Linked DNA regions of Arabidopsis thaliana. The protein of the gene in region 1 interacts with the protein of each later gene in a pairwise test. Each region holds a gene or a part of one and is shown on either strand. Other genes may lie near its edges.

Evidence for each region.
Region 2: the proteins of WNK8 (region 1) and RACK1B_AT interact in a two-hybrid assay, tested with the Arabidopsis thaliana proteins (one large-scale study listed by BioGRID).
Region 3: the proteins of WNK8 (region 1) and NRT1.1 interact in a protein complementation assay, tested with the Arabidopsis thaliana proteins (one large-scale study listed by BioGRID).

Annotation. Positions count from the first base shown.
Region 1 is NC_003076.8:16,796,407-16,802,064, reverse strand, and holds the start of WNK8 (with no lysine (K) kinase 8), read left to right. Parts: upstream 1-4,058; 5' UTR 4,059-4,502; coding exon 4,503-4,592; intron 4,593-4,957; coding exon 4,958-4,995; intron 4,996-5,079; coding exon 5,080-5,307; intron 5,308-5,407; coding exon 5,408-5,628; intron 5,629-5,658. Other genes in the region: AT5G42000 (ORMDL family protein), read right to left, coding at 1,384-1,522, 2,204-2,352, 2,434-2,610. UniProt on the Arabidopsis thaliana protein: Regulates flowering time by modulating the photoperiod pathway. Phosphorylates the vacuolar ATPase subunit C (VATC) and RGS1. Regulates EDM2 that, in turn, modulates development processes.
Region 2 is NC_003070.9:17,980,687-17,986,344, reverse strand, and holds RACK1B_AT (receptor for activated C kinase 1B), read left to right. Parts: upstream 1-2,967; 5' UTR 2,968-3,076; coding exon 3,077-3,955; intron 3,956-4,266; coding exon 4,267-4,368; 3' UTR 4,369-4,709; downstream 4,710-5,658. Other genes in the region: PEX3 (peroxin 3), read right to left, coding at 379-631, 739-954, 1,042-1,169, 1,235-1,271, 1,376-1,446, 1,554-1,684, 1,758-1,948, 2,039-2,200 and 1 more.
Region 3 is NC_003070.9:4,102,478-4,108,135, reverse strand, and holds the start of NRT1.1 (nitrate transporter 1.1), read right to left. Parts: upstream 2,914-5,658; 5' UTR 2,796-2,913; coding exon 2,681-2,795; intron 2,496-2,680; coding exon 2,318-2,495; intron 2,224-2,317; coding exon 2,184-2,223; intron 2,010-2,183; coding exon 1,435-2,009; intron 1-1,434. UniProt on the Arabidopsis thaliana protein: Dual affinity nitrate transporter. Involved in proton-dependent nitrate uptake and in the regulation of the nitrate transporter NRT2.1.

The DNA.
Region 1 (5,658 bases):
GAGAAAACGAAGAGTTTATGAGAGATTTACTTACATCTTCACCAAAATCAAACCGGGTTTGAATCAAAATTCTGCTCTTTCTTATAAATAGTCTTTGTCTGGTCAAAATGATTGCATCGAAACGAATGAGTTTAAAACTCTTATCCAAACATTGCGACGATTCGGGTCACGTTTCTTAAAGTCGCAAATCCTTGCGAAGGTTTTTATAAACAAAAGGTTGGGTTTTGAAAGAAAGATATTGGAGAGGGTTTAAGAGCGAGATATTCGGAAATTGAGAGGTTTTGTTTCTTCGATTGTACGAAGAAGAAGAAGAAGAAGAGAGGAAGAGAGAAACAAATAAAACAGAACAAAGATCCTTTCCTTCTTCTTTTGTCTTTTTCTTCTCTCTTGTTTTTTTATTTATTAAAAAACTAATTTTGAAATAGTCAAACATTTGTTTGCACTTACTTAGTCAACATGAATATTCTAATCCCACTTTTATTTCAATAATCATATGTTGATTTGTCTTTCTTTAATGTATTTTTACTTTTCTTCTCTTGATTTGAGATAAACGACATTATACTACATCTTAATTTAAGAAAAATTGATCTTTCCCATTATTTTTTTTTGTTTTTCCACGTTTTGATTTGGTCATTGTTTGTTTTAGTTATTTGCCTATTGATAGATGAACAAATTCTAGTCTTTTTTGTGTGAGTCAATATCGATATATGTTACCCACCTATTCACTAAACAATTAGGAACAAGGTGATAACTCAGGGTACAAATGGACAAATTGTTTTTAAAAATTCCCTATTGTTTTTAATTTGGTTTAATGTCATCTAATTATTCATTTACACACTAACAGTAAATTTGAATATAAAAAAAAAATATTGTTTTCAGGTGGTGGGAACACGATTTTGTCAATTTCCCTTTTGAGCTCAATACATTACCTCACGTGTGCTAAAATGTCTTTACCCTTGTCACTAACGTAATTCACCAACAACAACAAAATCATCGGATTTAGTTATAAAGATGATATATATATATATATCAAAAACGGTATATATAAATAAATCTTCCCCAACTATTCATTCAAACCCTAGATTGCTCGCTAAACAACTTTCTGTTGTAACCAGTTTTGGGATTATACAAATAAGAAACTAAGAGAACCACAAAAGAGATCAAATATGAATTGATTAGAAGCCCCAAACAAAGAGTAGAAAGGTTTGAATATGCGATGATGGGATGTGACCAAATAACACATTTTCTCCGGTTAAGGGATTCAATGTCTGTATAGTACAGACATGTTGAATGATGATGATGGCATTTGTTGTTGGATTCCACATTCCAAATACTCTGATTCGCATTATACACAGACCTTTTTCTTTGTTTTCTCAAGTTTTTTCATTGGTCTCCATTGATTCCAAATATGCGGACCTTGTGCATGTGCGGGAATTTCGCAACCACCATGACAAATACAGCCAGTGTGTTGAGAAAGAGCATCGGGTGCTGATAGTCTGTTGTGTGAGAGGCTATCAAGTACCTACATACAAAGTTTGGTCAGACTTTTATGTCACAAAGATCCAATCATTGATTACATATTCGTCACACACAACACAATTGAGGTATTCCACTACACATAATCTAGTAGTGCTTCTTTTAAGAGAGATTCAGCAAACTCATAACAGACCTTATGTCTTGTACGAATGTCTAAATCTAAATCTAAATCCAAGGCTCTTGAGCACTAGCTAAAAGACCTTAATAATCAAGCGAGTTTAATCATAGTAGGAAACTTAGGTCCAACCCTAATCAGTGAACAGATTTGAAGCACTAGTCAACAAACAGAAATCAAAATGAGAAGAACGGTAGTGTCTTGACTCTTGTGTATCTGATTGTCATGTCAAAATGTATTCTGTGTAGTAATAATTGCAAATCAAATTGTCAAAACAACCACTTCACCTAGGAATAGAATTGTAATTAAGCTCATTGACTAGCATCTCTATATAACCAGATGTAAAATGAGCTACAATAAGATAAAGAACAAGTAGGTAGGGAAACGAAGATCAATGTATCTCTAAAACATAACTTAAGCAAAAATTACACCAAATACAGAAACAATCATAGAAAATAAGGTAAGGCATTCAATTTTTCGATACTGAACAAGATCAACAAGAGATGATGATGCAAAACAAAATCCTAATGAGATATGAGAGAAGGAACTTACAAGACAACAGGAACAACGGTGAGAAATTTGCGATTACGTGTAAGCTGCTTGCCATTATCAATCTGTTCCCACCAAGTCAATCTATTATAGACTCCTTGATCATCTCCAAATGGTGTTCCCTTCTTCCAATGGAAGGAATGATACGTGACCTAGAAAACAAAAAAACTCAAAAATTCAAATCTAGAAACCAACAATTTCGAAATTGGATCGGAGGAGATCGGGAATAATACGGTGAAATGAGCGAGATGAACAATGGTCCAAGCGATGCCAGGAGAACAATGGAAGACGGAGAGAACGAGGAGCCAAGAGAAGAAGAGGATGAGAATATAAGTAGTCCAAACACCAGGATATGTGAACCACTCTGTGTTCCGATTCACATCCGTCGTCGGAAGTGCTCTTACGTACATCGTCTTTTTCACCGGAGGGATTTGGAAGAAGATCGGAGATGATGATTGATGAATCGTCGTTGAGCAAGTTTTCTTTCTTCTTTGTTTTTTTTTTCTCTGCTGCGTTCTTTGGGCTCTTTCTGGGCTTTTTATTTTCTACAATTTTTTTAAAAAGAAGCATTAAATTAAAATAGGAAGGTGGTTGGGTGGCTCACCGATCTTAGCCTAAAACAATGATTATCAGTAACTCTGTCTCAAGACTCTCAACGCGTCACTCGATAAACCACGACGACTCATATTTTTAATTTATTGGACTTTTCTTGTCAGCTTACATAGAGGCCCATTACAAAACACACCGGTTTTCCGACCCGACCCGTACCTTTTCATCCGATAATTTAATTTACATTTTCAAAATATGTTCTGAAGTTAATTCTTGACCATATTAGTAAGAGTTATTTCATTTTATTTTTGAACAAATTTTAGCTGCCAAATTTCGAAATCCTTTTTTTTTTGCTACCAAATTTTCCATCCAGTGCTTCCGTGAAAAATATTTCGAATAAAATACCATTTTAAAAAACATCTTCGAATAAATATCTAAAATTATCAGTTTTTTGTTCTTCTCATATTTTCAACTTGATGAGGATTAGATTTAGATTCACCTAATGATTACAATAAACACGATTAAGCCTCGTTGGTTTTTTAAGACAAACTTACAATTTTTTTGTTTTTTCTTTTCTTCATCACACACTCTGTCTCACCAACTTATTCAATAAAAGCAATTGGACTTTTAACACAAAATATATTATTCAACGACAAAATGATTTCGTATTAATGCTATACTATCCAAGGTTCATTAAATTTGAACTAGCTATATCTTTTTATTAAACTTATAGAATTTAGATTCCACAATTTCTTGATTTCCATGCACAGAAAAAAAACTTTAAATAGATTACTATTCCCTCTAATTAAAATATAAGATGTTATAAAAGTTTATCTTTTAAATATTAAAAAATATTTTGTTAGTTTCTATGAAAATTAAATGTATTTGATAATTTGTGATCATTTATATTCTGCAGTTTTTTCTTATGATTAGTTAAAATTTTTAATTCTATAAATAATATTTTTTAGAAAGAATGATCTTAATATGTGTGATTGTTTTAAACATTTTATATTTTGAAACAAAGGAAATAACATCGTATTTCTGAGGATTTACATAATGTTTTTTTTTTGGTGCACCTAGCATAATGTTTTATTAGTAGAAATTATTCATAACCTGAAACATGTAATTGCATAAATGGCCTAAAGTCAGCTGAAATAAAATGAAAACAGAGGATACATAATTAGTAGAATAATCTCAAATATAAGAGAAAGTGCGTTAGTTGATAAAGACAGATAATTTGACTTTCCGATTTATTTGGCCGCCAACCTTTTTTTGTTTTGTTCTTCCTAAATTCCCTTTCTCCGAAATTCCTTTCATTGATTTCATCATCATCATCATCCTTCGTTTTTTCTCTATCGATCTAGCAGATTCTTTCGGGGACCAAAATCAAAATCATGGTGGATCATCAATGGAAGGATTTAATCGGATAAAAGAGAAGAGACGGAATCACGACGGGAGAAGAGATCGGGAAATCGGAAAATCGGAGATGATGGGGATTTCTTTCGCCGCCAAACTCCGTTTCCGATCTCGATTTCGAACTTCTTCAATCGATTCTTATTGCTTCGCTCGTGAGGCTTTCTCCGATTGTATCTCCTCCGTCCATTTCTTCTTCTTATAACCTTTTTCTTTGTAATAACCTCCGTCCTCTTCAGCTTTCTTTCTTTTCATCTTCAATCTCACCTTAAATTCTCCACTTTTTTCTTCTTCTCCTTCTGTTCTCGATTGCTTTGTTTGTTGTGTTGTGCATACATATATGGCTTCTGGTTCTGGATTTTTAGGTCAGATATCGTCCATGGAAGAGGCTGATTTTGCCGAGAAAGATCCTTCTGGCCGTTACATCAGGGTACGTCACTGTCTTCGTTGATTCATGTGTGAATTTGCATTCAATCTCGTTTGGTTGAGTGTTTTTTATTGTTGAATTATGAGGAAATTGATCAGAATTTGAGAATTTTGACCTAGTTTAATGAGTTCTCTTTGTAGTTCTACCTAATGAGGGCTGTTACTTTGATCGTATGGTGATGATTATTGGTTTATAGCAATGTGTGTTTTGTTCATTGTTACGTGTTTTCGACTTTTAAGCTATGTACAATTGTACATTTGGAACAATCAAGCTTAAGATCATGTTGTATTGCTGATTTTTTCGAGTTTGTATGGTGGAAAACATATAGTGATTGATCGATTCGTTTTTTTTTTGTTGTTGTTGTTTAGTATGATGATGTTCTGGGGAGAGGAGCTTTCAAGACTGTGTATGTTTTCTACACCCTATTATGCTTTTATGTTTTTAGTTGTAAAGGAAAGTGATTCTGATTTGTTTATTAACTCTTGTATAGATATAAGGCGTTTGACGAAGTAGACGGGATTGAAGTTGCTTGGAACCTAGTTAGCATTGAAGATGTAATGCAGATGCCTGGTCAACTTGAAAGGCTATATTCTGAAGTTCATCTACTAAAGGCTCTAAAACATGAAAACATCATCAAACTCTTTTACTCTTGGGTTGACGAAAAGAACAAGACTATTAACATGATCACTGAGCTTTTCACCTCTGGTAGTCTCAGGGTGTAAGTATCTCCCCCACTTCTCTTTTGTATTGATGATCCTTCATTCTTTTTTTTTTTCCTGTGCATCACATGGGTTGACACCATTTCATTTGATGTGAAGATATCGTAAGAAGCATAGGAAGGTTGATCCCAAGGCCATCAAGAACTGGGCAAGGCAGATTCTCAAAGGCCTGAACTATTTGCATTCTCAGAACCCTCCGGTAATTCACCGGGATCTGAAGTGTGACAATATATTTGTCAATGGAAATACTGGAGAGGTCAAAATCGGAGATCTCGGGCTCGCAACTGTACTGCAGCAGCCCACTGCTCGAAGTGTGATAGGTAATACACCATAAACCATTTTCCTTCCTA
Region 2 (5,658 bases), on another chromosome or scaffold:
CTGCGATAACTCTTACACTTTTGTTCTCCGGTAATCTCATTAATTACGGATGTGTATAAAATCTTGCGCTTGTAGCAGCTATAGATTGGAAAAGTCAACCTTTGTTCCGTTGACTTGTGTGCAAGGCACGAACGCAGTGGAGGGATCGTGGACACTTTAAATGCAAGTTGCTTTACTTATTTTCTAATCAAAGTTCCAAGTGTCCTATTAAACAAATGCTCTTCTTTTCTAATCAAAACAAATAAATGAAATCAACTTTGGTTCTACAAGCTCAAAACACGAAAATTCCTGCATTTCTTTCAAGCTAAAAGACCCCCCTACAAAGAAAGCAAATAGCAAAACACTTTGGGGAATTTCTAAGAGAACAAACAAAAGTTGCTATTGCGGCATATTAGCGTATAAAAGAGTAAAAAAGAGTTTAACTTCAGGCAGATCTCTGATGATTTGTAAGAACCGGTTCTTGCTTGGTTCAGCTGTAATCACATTCATTGTCTTCTCAATCTGTGGTAAGACCTTTGCCAATGGTTTCCCTGTAGCCAAACCGCCTGCTTCAGTCTGCGTTTCCATTTCCTCTACCAACACATCCGTGAAGCACTTGAGCGAAATTTCGACTATATTTGTGAATTCAGTGCTGCAACAAGAAAGACACCAAGAGATAAGTTTATTCCCCACAATCATCCAAGAGTGTAAGAAAGAGGAAAAATTGTGTGTTTATCTTAGCAGATAGACATTACTTACCTGATGAGTACTTCTCGAGTCTCAACCATGAGTTGATGAAACTTGGACACAGCTTCATCAGAAGAGTCACTTGTGGTTCTTGAAAGCTTTGTGTCTTGAGGCATCATTAAATAATCAACCCAGTGATGTGGGCTTCCAGTGCTCATAAACACATCTACAATCTGCATCACGGTTTCTTGAAGAACTCTTGTGGTAATTACATCCTTTAACTGCTTTCTGCAATTAAACACACAAAAACATATTAGAGTTTTTCCAACAATAGTCAAATTATAAACGATCTAGATACGAATTTTTGCAATGTACCCTTTAAGGACTTCCTCGGCTGAACCCTGCATATCTGAAATCAAACTTGGCATTGCATTGGTGACAAGAAAATCAGCACTCGACAAAAACTTCTGTTCATCATCTCTATCAATGAGATCTACCTCTTCCTGCAAACAAAAAGAAACAAATTTAATAGATACACTGTTGAAAGCTCACAGGGCAAGCAGATCACAGGACAAGCGGCCGTGGCTTTAAAAGGTAATCTGGAACTATATCAAAGAAAGATAGGTGATTCCAGAGTATTAGTCCACAGATAGGTCAAATGCATAATCGTTATCGCAATTAAACACAGCTACTAGAGACATAATTATACAAGTTCTTAACAGAACAACCAGTGAGTTTCCCCGAGAAATAGCTTGTTGGGGATGAGATAAGCAAAGTACACTGAATCATACTTGCGAGCAAATGAGAGCAGTAAAGAACATGTGCAGTATCGTTTAATAAACAGCAAATTCTCCAATACAGAGAAGAGGGGAAGCATATTATCTTACAAGTAAATGAGAGCTGCCAAGAGCTCGAGCGGTGTCAACATACAAATGTCTGCCTAAAATGTTGACTTGAACCCTAATGTATAAGCTAAGCATTGTCACAGACCACAGAGACAAAACCATCCTCGTGAAACCTGGCAAATAACATGAATATACAGGTAAGAAACAGAATTTGATAGAGTAAGAGTAGGTGACTGCAGTGCATACTCAAAATCTTGAGCTCATCCCAGAGCTGAAGTTTCTCAGGTGGACTCAGCATTCCTTTCCCTTGGTTCAGTCTGTCCATAACATGAGAGACATCGATCTCCTCGCTGATACGGATACTCAAAAACTGCATTGCGTGAGGCAGTGTGGTCGAATCCACAATCATCTGAATACTCTCGAAATGTGCTTTCATTCTAAACAAGAGTACAAACAAGACAGGTCCGTTAGAGAATCCATAAGAACTGAAGTCTAAAGGATCAGTTTTTATGAGCACAGAACTTAACTGGGTTTTGATGATTTCGTCATTTTCACGCTCGTGAGCGAGTTCTCGTTCCAAATCAGCAAGCCTACGAGTATGGGAATTGTATAGTTTGTAGAGTAAATACCCACTTCCCAAACAACCAGCCGTCACCAAGACCTTCCTTCTATGCTTCCTCCAAAAACCCCTAATTTATTCCACAAGGTATTGAATCAATTAAAAACCCTAACTTTATTCACCAAAAACCCTTCCTAAGGAATTGGAATTAGTGTGCTAGAGAGAGAGAGATAGAGAACGCAAAACACTAAATTTCGAATTTTCACGAAAACAGTAAGCAATTACAAAGAAAGATGAAGCGAACAAGAACCTAACGAAATCCATGGCTGGTGAAGCTTTTACTGAAGTCGAACCCAGAGATACATAGCTGAGAAAACACGTAGAAAGATGAAGATTCCCGAATTGATTCGTTCGGTTTGAAAAGGAGATAACTTTGCAGGCGAGAGAAAGAGATGGTTGATGTGATCGATTTCAATTTAATCAATCACTTCATCTTTTTCTTCTCCGGAATTCGGACATGTAAAATTATATCTTCCACAGGGACAGTCGAAGTTGTGTTCTTAGTTCTTACAATAAAAGTTGAAATGGCCAAACTCGGTTTGTTTACTTTAATTGAACCGACTTTTGAGTCTATTTCAATTTTTGACAATAACTTCTCGGTAGAGTTCTCATGGGGTTTGCCCAAAAGAGAGAAAAAAAAGTTGTCATGTCATGTACTCATGTGGTTATCAAATTGACTTGTAACAAGCTATACCAATTCTGGTTAAGCGTTCCAAACAGAAAGATATAAATCTCGGTTCCATAATTGTCCCAACATGAAACCAAGTTGGGTAGAATACCGGGCCTTAATGCTGGCCCAAATGAAGAGACCCAAACTATTGACAAATGAAAACAAAGAACCCTAATTATCTCTAACTATAAATACTCTCGGTTTCTCGTTACCTCCATTTTGCCCTCTCCCATTTTTGTCGCCGAAACCCTAAATCTCGACCTCAAACCCTGAACCATGGCTGAAGGACTCGTGTTGAAAGGCACAATGTGTGCCCACACTGATATGGTCACCGCCATTGCTACACCGGTCGATAACTCCGACGTGATTGTAACTTCGTCGCGTGACAAATCAATCATCCTCTGGAAACTCACAAAGGAAGACAAGTCATACGGTGTTGCTCAGCGGAGGATGACTGGTCACTCTCACTTCGTTCAAGACGTTGTTCTCTCCTCCGATGGACAATTCGCTCTCTCCGGATCTTGGGACGGTGAGCTTCGTCTCTGGGATCTCGCTACCGGAGAATCTACTCGTCGTTTCGTTGGTCACACGAAAGATGTTCTCTCTGTTGCTTTCTCTACCGATAACCGTCAGATCGTCTCTGCTTCTCGTGATCGTACGATTAAGCTTTGGAACACGCTTGGTGAGTGTAAGTATACCATCTCTGAAGCTGATGGTCACAAGGAATGGGTTAGTTGTGTTAGGTTTAGTCCTAATACTCTTGTGCCAACTATTGTATCTGCTTCTTGGGATAAAACTGTGAAGGTCTGGAATCTTCAGAATTGTAAGCTTAGGAACACTCTTGCTGGTCACTCTGGTTACTTGAACACTGTGGCTGTGTCACCTGATGGTTCGTTGTGTGCCAGTGGTGGCAAAGATGGTGTGATCTTGCTTTGGGATTTGGCTGAAGGGAAGAAGTTGTATTCTCTTGAAGCTGGCTCTATTATTCATTCACTTTGCTTCAGTCCCAATAGGTACTGGTTGTGTGCAGCAACAGAGAATAGCATTAGGATTTGGGATCTCGAGAGTAAGTCTGTTGTTGAGGATTTGAAGGTTGATCTTAAGGCTGAGGCTGAAAAGACTGATGGTTCTACTGGAATCGGAAACAAGACCAAGGTATCTATTTCTCCTCACTCTATCTTATGGTTAATTGTCTAGTTCTAAGTTCTGTGAATTAGTTAGCCGTTGCCTTAAAAGATGAGATTTTCATAAAGGAAGGTCTGAATACTCTCATGTGAAGTTAGTTCACAAGATTTGATTGGTACGTAAGAGAGTAGCTAACATTAGATTGAGAAACCTGGTTTTAAGTTAGCTCTAGTCTCTGATTTCTTAGATTGTAGTGTCTGAAGTGATTCCATATTGATTTGTTGGTTACTCTTTGGTCTGAGGTGGTTTATATATGTTCTAATGTGGAATGTAAAATGCAGGTGATCTACTGCACAAGCTTGAACTGGAGTGCAGATGGAAACACTTTGTTCAGTGGATACACTGATGGAGTTATCAGGGTTTGGGGTATTGGTCGTTACTAGAGAGACAAGAAGTTTCTTTATTCTCTCCAAATTTTTCCATCGACTCTAAAGTCTTCTCTTCTGAATTAGTGTTTTGAGGATTTATTTTTTGTTCTTTTCTATTTTCAGAATCCACAAATGTGATATTTTGATACATTGATTTTGTTTCATATTTGTTTTCTTACACTGAGTCTGAGTACACGGCGTAGAATCTGATTTGAAGTTGTTACTTGTATCCTCTAGAAAGTAGAAATGGCTTTAGGTTGATGACTAACTGTATAACAGCAAGAATTTTTTCTTAGGAATCTGAAAACTTCAAGGAGTTATTAGCCTTTACTTTTCCAGTGGTTACATCTTAACTACAACACGAACCCTTTCAAAAGAATCTCTAAACACCAATGCACCAACCAGTTTATCTTTTTGTACTTAATGATATTTGGTTTTCCATCTCTTACTCTACCAAAACTAAGAGTAGTCTAAAGTGTAGGCGACAAGGCCATATGTTATACGAATTCTCAGTTAACATGAACCGAATATAGCCCATATAGAATAGTTCTTGACCCAGACGCTTACCTCCATACGGCACAGAGTCTCTGATAAATGGGTCTTATTAGCATTAATTTTGTGTGTAGCCAAAGGTTGAAACTTGAGAACTTCTTCATGCTCAAAAACACCAAATGAGGTAAACCATGCACGAGTCAATAGTCAATAATCAAAAGTGCAATCAAGATTGTTTTCACTGCTTTTCCGAAGAAACCAAGACCCCCTATGACATGTTTCAGCATCATAAGCCGCTCAACAAAGCAATGCTTAATTGCTCTGTAAAATTTTTCATATTTCTTATCTTTTAGATATTCTACACCCAATACCCAAGTCCACGTATATAACAAGATCTTAATTAGGCTCCGTAGGCTTCGACAACATGTCCATTTTATATCATGCTTTTTTTTGTAGTCCAAATAAGCTAAGGTTGATCAAGAATGGAACATCAAACTACTAAAACTATAGATCGTTTAGCTCTGCATGATTTAGAGAAACCGCAGCAAAACTATTTCTATCGTCATTAGATGATATAATACAACCTTTTGCACTAATTTAGGCTTTGCAAATTTGAGAAAAAGAAATATAGACTTTATTATATTCTGTTTTGTTAACAAATTAGGCTAATCTACCTCATATTGGTTACTCGGATACTTTCTTCTCAAATGCGACAAGTCTCAACATGTTTCGATCAAATAGACGTGTTTCTATACTGCTTTGATGTTTTTTTATGTTCCCTGGTGCAGTTTCCTTGATTTGGACCGAACTTGG
Region 3 (5,658 bases), on another chromosome or scaffold:
ACATGCATGACAAATACGTAATTGCTTTTAAAATAGTGTAGGCAAAAAAAAGTTAAGAGTTTGAATTTATGGAAAAGTGTAAAAGGTTTTTTCTTTAGTTTTCAACTACCTTTTAGAGAGACCCAAACGAAAGAGAAATTTAATGAAGCACCGAGCACGCAAAGCACGTGTCGTGCATGTGACGCTAGGGTTCTTAATTATGCCTAACTTTGGGTCTGTCCCGGTGAAGGTGTAAAGTAGTGGAGGTGCTACGACACGATATTTGATCGTTTTCACTACAGACAAAACACCTGCCTCCCTACCCTAACTTCTCGTCTCTTCTTCTTTATTAGTTTTATTTCCGAGAAAGGGATTCCAATATCTAGAGATGCTAAATAGATTTTCCATAAATTATCTGGTATAAAGAAAAATTGATTCCTTTGGATTCTTTTATTTCTATGTAGGTATGCATAGGGATTGATGGATAAAAGATACTGTACTTAAGTTAGCAAAAATAAAAGATACCGTACTTAAAGGGGGAAAACTCACGAGTCAGGGGAATATAAATATAGATATATGTGTGTCAGTGTATGTGTATTTAAAGTTATAAGGCATTAGAATCATAATCATAATTATAATACTATAATAAAGATAAAATAGCAAATTGGTGTATTTAATTTTCCGCAATGATGAAGATACTCTTTCTGTAAAAACCAAATATTCTACGAGTGGGTGTGAAATTTTTTATAGGCAAAAAGTAAAGATGGAGAATTTTACCCCACTTGATATCACTTGCATATACTTATTCATTTGTTTATCTGAATTACTTTATCTTTCCGACTAATTCCGAGAGACTACTTTTATTTTCCTACCTATTCTATGAACCGAACTTAACGTGTTATCTAACAAAGATATACACATGCACACACACATAGGATTTTAAGGAAAAAATATACAATATAAAATGCCAAAGTAGGGACTTTGAACCCAAAAATCCAAAAATGTTGTAATTAGCTGTATAATTCGTATCCTGGACCAGTTTCGCTGTATGGTCGAGTAATAATATTATGAAAATAATTTATTTTCCCCGTAACAAAAGACAAAGAAAGATATTCAACACCTTTTAATTAATTTATAATGGCTGTCAAAAAAAAATGATTTCTAATGCCAAGTAGGCATATAATGAGAAATATTTACGGTCCCACTATAATTAAAGGACACGAGCATTTCGAGTTATTTCTCACCCACACAACCCCACTTTTAATTTCACATTTTTAAAGTCTACTGATACTATCACATTTAATTAAGGGAACCAGTACCTCAATTATTTCAATTAACCCTTAAATGGAAAAGAAAAAGAAAAATTTTAAAACTTTTATCTTAAAATTTAAATCATTGTAAGTTTTGAGGATCGTACGTGGAAAGCAAATGATGAGTTAATTAAAAGAATCGTACCGGAATTGTTCAGTGTGTGGCAGCTTTTGTTTACCCTTCATCGAACCTTCCGCCGCAATAATATCATCCACATCGTAGAGATAGGACGGATCTGCCGGCAGCTCGAGCTTCCTATTCCTCCACGCCGCCACGATAACCGCAGCAACCTGCGTCATCGGGCTACCGATCAACTTCTTGAAACGGTAGCGGTTTGTTCCGGCCAAGAAAACGCTGAGTGCAAGCACGATCGCAAACGCGCAAATTCCATAGCCCCATTTGCGTCCAACATCGTCTTGTACGTAGACAAGGACCGTCACAGCTAAAAGAGAGCCAACGTTGATACAAAAGAAGAAACGGTTGAAGAAATATGTCATTTTCGATCGTTCTTTTGGTTCGGTCTCATCGAATTGGTCCGACCCGAAACCCGAGACACTAGCCTTCACGCCTCCCGTTCCTAGAGCGGTGAGGTATAAGGCTAAGTATAGGACCGTCAGTTGTATTCCACTTGCTTGTTCGCAGTGAGACGACGTTGTTGGATTGCATCTTGGTGGTCGAAGTCCCGGTATGATTGTTGATAGAGTTAAGATTGAAACACCCTGATAGCATCATAGTTCATAACACGGATATTATTTTTCGGAAAACTATAACAAAAATAACGACTTATGCTGTTTACTATTTCGATTTGTTTATTGACTAGACAATATTTTTATTTTCTTCGTTTTCTTGGGTATAAGTTTTGGTAAGGAGAAAGGGACTTTTGAGGTCCTTACCGTGGCTTGGATTGCGGCGAATATAGCAATCGTTAGGTACCTATACAAAACAAAATGAATGAACTCAAATTAATATTTTAAAAAGAATCTGAATGATTTTAGTTAAGTAAATATAAATATATTTATAGACAAACCTGCCGAGAAAGGTATCGGCGATGAAGCCACCGAGGAGACAGAGCATGAAAGAAGTTCCGAGGAAATTGGTAACGGTGTTAGCCGCAGTTGCATTGCCTAAATGCATAGTTCCCGTCAAATACGTCACCAGATTAACTCCGATACCTAACGTCGTCAGCCTCTCCACGGCCTCAATACCTTCACACAATAAAATTTTGTTAATGATAAAGTTGGATACATCGAGAATACATAAAAGAATAAGAATGATAGCCATAAGAAACTTATAACTTAGTAAATGCCATTAAAAAGTTTCAATTCTTGTCTTCAGCATGTATATTGTTGGTAGCTTTTCTCTAGAACTTTTATTATGTGATTATACTTACAAAGAATCATGGCGGCGCTGGCCCAGCCGCCGGTTTTTGAGCGATCGGCGGGACGGCCTTGGAAGTCCCAAGCATCAAGAAGGATATCATCAGATTTAGTTTCAGGAAGAGACATCTTGAAGATGGATTAATGATCTCTCTCTTTTTTTTGCAGTTTTTGGGGGTGTTTGTTCTTATGTAAAAGGCTGTTTTGTTTGAGAGCTCTTGGTTTCTTTTGTGGTCTTAAATGTGTTCGTTGATACATCTATTTATACTGGGAAACTAGCCAAGTTAAAAAAGTTTTTATTGTTTTATTTTGATTTTTTATTCATAAAACTAAAATATTGAAGAAAAAAGTGACACATGTGTGACTCTGATGAGTGTTGTTTGATTGGGGAGAGAATAATTAATAATAATAACTACTACTGTAACTGTAGTATATATTTGTAGAAAGAGAAAATTGAGAGAGAGAGAAAGAGACCATACCTAAATTTTACCACTTCCTCTACCTTTGGAACTGTGGGCTTGAACTTTTAAGTTGAAGTCATCGGTCATTTTGTCAGTGATTCAATGGCATTAGCCATTAAAAGCACCAGTTTTAGCCACCACCTGTTTTACATTTGTTCTATTTCTTGGAAAATTATTTTACTTCCATGAAAGATAATACAGTATGTTTTTTACGTCTGTACTATATATGGAAAATAATTCAAAATAATTGATTTCTGTGTTACAAACGCATTTTCATCAATATTGTTCATTTGAGATTTTGTAGTATTGTCGAGGCATATCTATTTCGTTTTTTGAGTTTGCCCAAAAGAAAAAAAAAATCTATTTCGTTTTTTGTTTGCTCAATATCAACTTTACTTCTAGGCCCATTCAGTTGTTCTGCAGCACAGCCATATCACAAAAATTTATTGATAATCGACTCATATTAATTTGAGAGTCATGTTTTCTTTCACATGTAATTATCAAATTATAATTTTATTGCATATAGTTTGAGGAAACTATTAAATTATATGAAATTTCAATCAAAACATCTTTATAGAAGTCAATAAAAGTCCTTTTAGGTATTTGCTTTTTGTTTGTCAACAATCTAGGTCTTTGTTACAAAATTGAAACCAAAGATTTGTAGATGTTGGTATGATTACGTACCAATTTTTTCTTCTTTTGTGTTAATGGGAAAGTCTACCTTGAGATTTAATGGCTCAAAATGAATGCTTCTTAGACGCCACTAAAATGAATCATGCTGCAATATGATTATTACCCTACTTTCCATTTATTTAACGTATAGTGAAATAAAATAAATAAAGAGCATGGTCACAGGACTTTCATGAACTATATATATAATTGGAAGTCTCGCAACTTCAATGGTTCTCTTTCTCTCTGGAGAAAACATATATAGGAGTATAAAGAAGAAGAACAAAGGTCATTTTCATTTTATAGAGCCAACAGAAAAATAAAAATAATTTATTCCAACAATTTGTAAGAGATGGTTAGTTAGTTTTATTAATAAGTCTCAAAGTCTATGTAAAATATCCAATATAAAAAACGAGTCAATTTTCAAGAAAAGCAAGAAATTGTATGTTACAGAAGTAAAACATACATTTGAATCAGTTTTTTATTTATTTATTAAGTAATTGATGAATTTCTATCCTCAATTAGTTAATTTTCGAAATTTATAAAATTTATTGTATACTATGTGTCATGATCCATCTCTTTCCGAGTTATTGATATGCAGATCGATGAAATTTTGAACCCATCAATAAACACTTTCTTCGTTGCTAGTTTCATATTGCTAAATTTACTATAATATCCCCAACAATCGATTATTTTGTACACATCCAAAGATTGTGGAAGAGCGAGAACAAAAAAGTCACAATGAAGAGTCCCATCCAAAAAGAAAAAGAGAACGAGTGGTGAACCCAAATATATTATCTTCTATTGAAATTAAATTAATAAACACATCCTCCGAAAAGGAATAAGAAAATAAATTAATGGAAACTTATAAAAATAAACCCTAACTTCAAAATTGGAAAATAAAAATGAAAATGGATGGATCAAATGTTTTGGGCGGAGCTGGCTTTTGCTTATAGGTATATCTCAGGGCCCAGATTTTTGGCACGTGATAGTTGGTAGGACCACGTGAGATTCTCCCTCAGCGTTGACTCGGTCATTTCAAGAGGATGAATCTTAATCGACATTAGCAGTTAGCACGAACAAGGAAACTACCTTTTGCTTCAATTTTAATTTTTGAGTTTTACATTCAAAATGAAGATTTACAGTTTATAACAAACGTATAATTCATTAACGAATAATCTTCTGACAAACCATCAGAGTAAAAAAAAAAAAAAGGCCTTTACAATAAGCGTTAAATCCTTTAGTAGAAAAAATGATGATAGCGCATGTAAACCATTTTTAATATTGTTAGGATAGATCAGAATAGTTTCAATTCAGATAAGGTATCGATCAAAGTTTTTTACTAAACTATATGTATATCCTCAATTTTAATTTCATTAACTGGTTAGTACCTTATTTTGTTAGCTTGATAGATAAAATTAAATAAAGTTGTAGGGTCTAAATGTGTAACATTGACAAAACTTAATGATTTATTACTAATTATATGATATTAATATTCCAGCAGGTGACGAAGGAAGAAAAAAAATACAGATTCAATTTTTTAAAAGGATTGATTGAATCATGTAGAAGAAGGGTATCGAATTAAATAATTGGGTATGGAATCCTTCTGAGTATCCCAAAGGCCATAGTTGACCAAACACAGGAATGACAACTTGTTCAATAATACAATCTTAAATAATATTGTAAATATTAGTATGTTCTTTGAAATTGTATCCTTCTTATTATAAAAGGGATTATGTTAGAATTATCGGTTACGGCGTCTTGATTTCGTCACTAATAATGAAACTAATTAACAATGTGTTTAGGAGAAATAGATGGCTAACTTGGATGAGAAAGAAGACGTCCACTTGTCACAAAAAGGT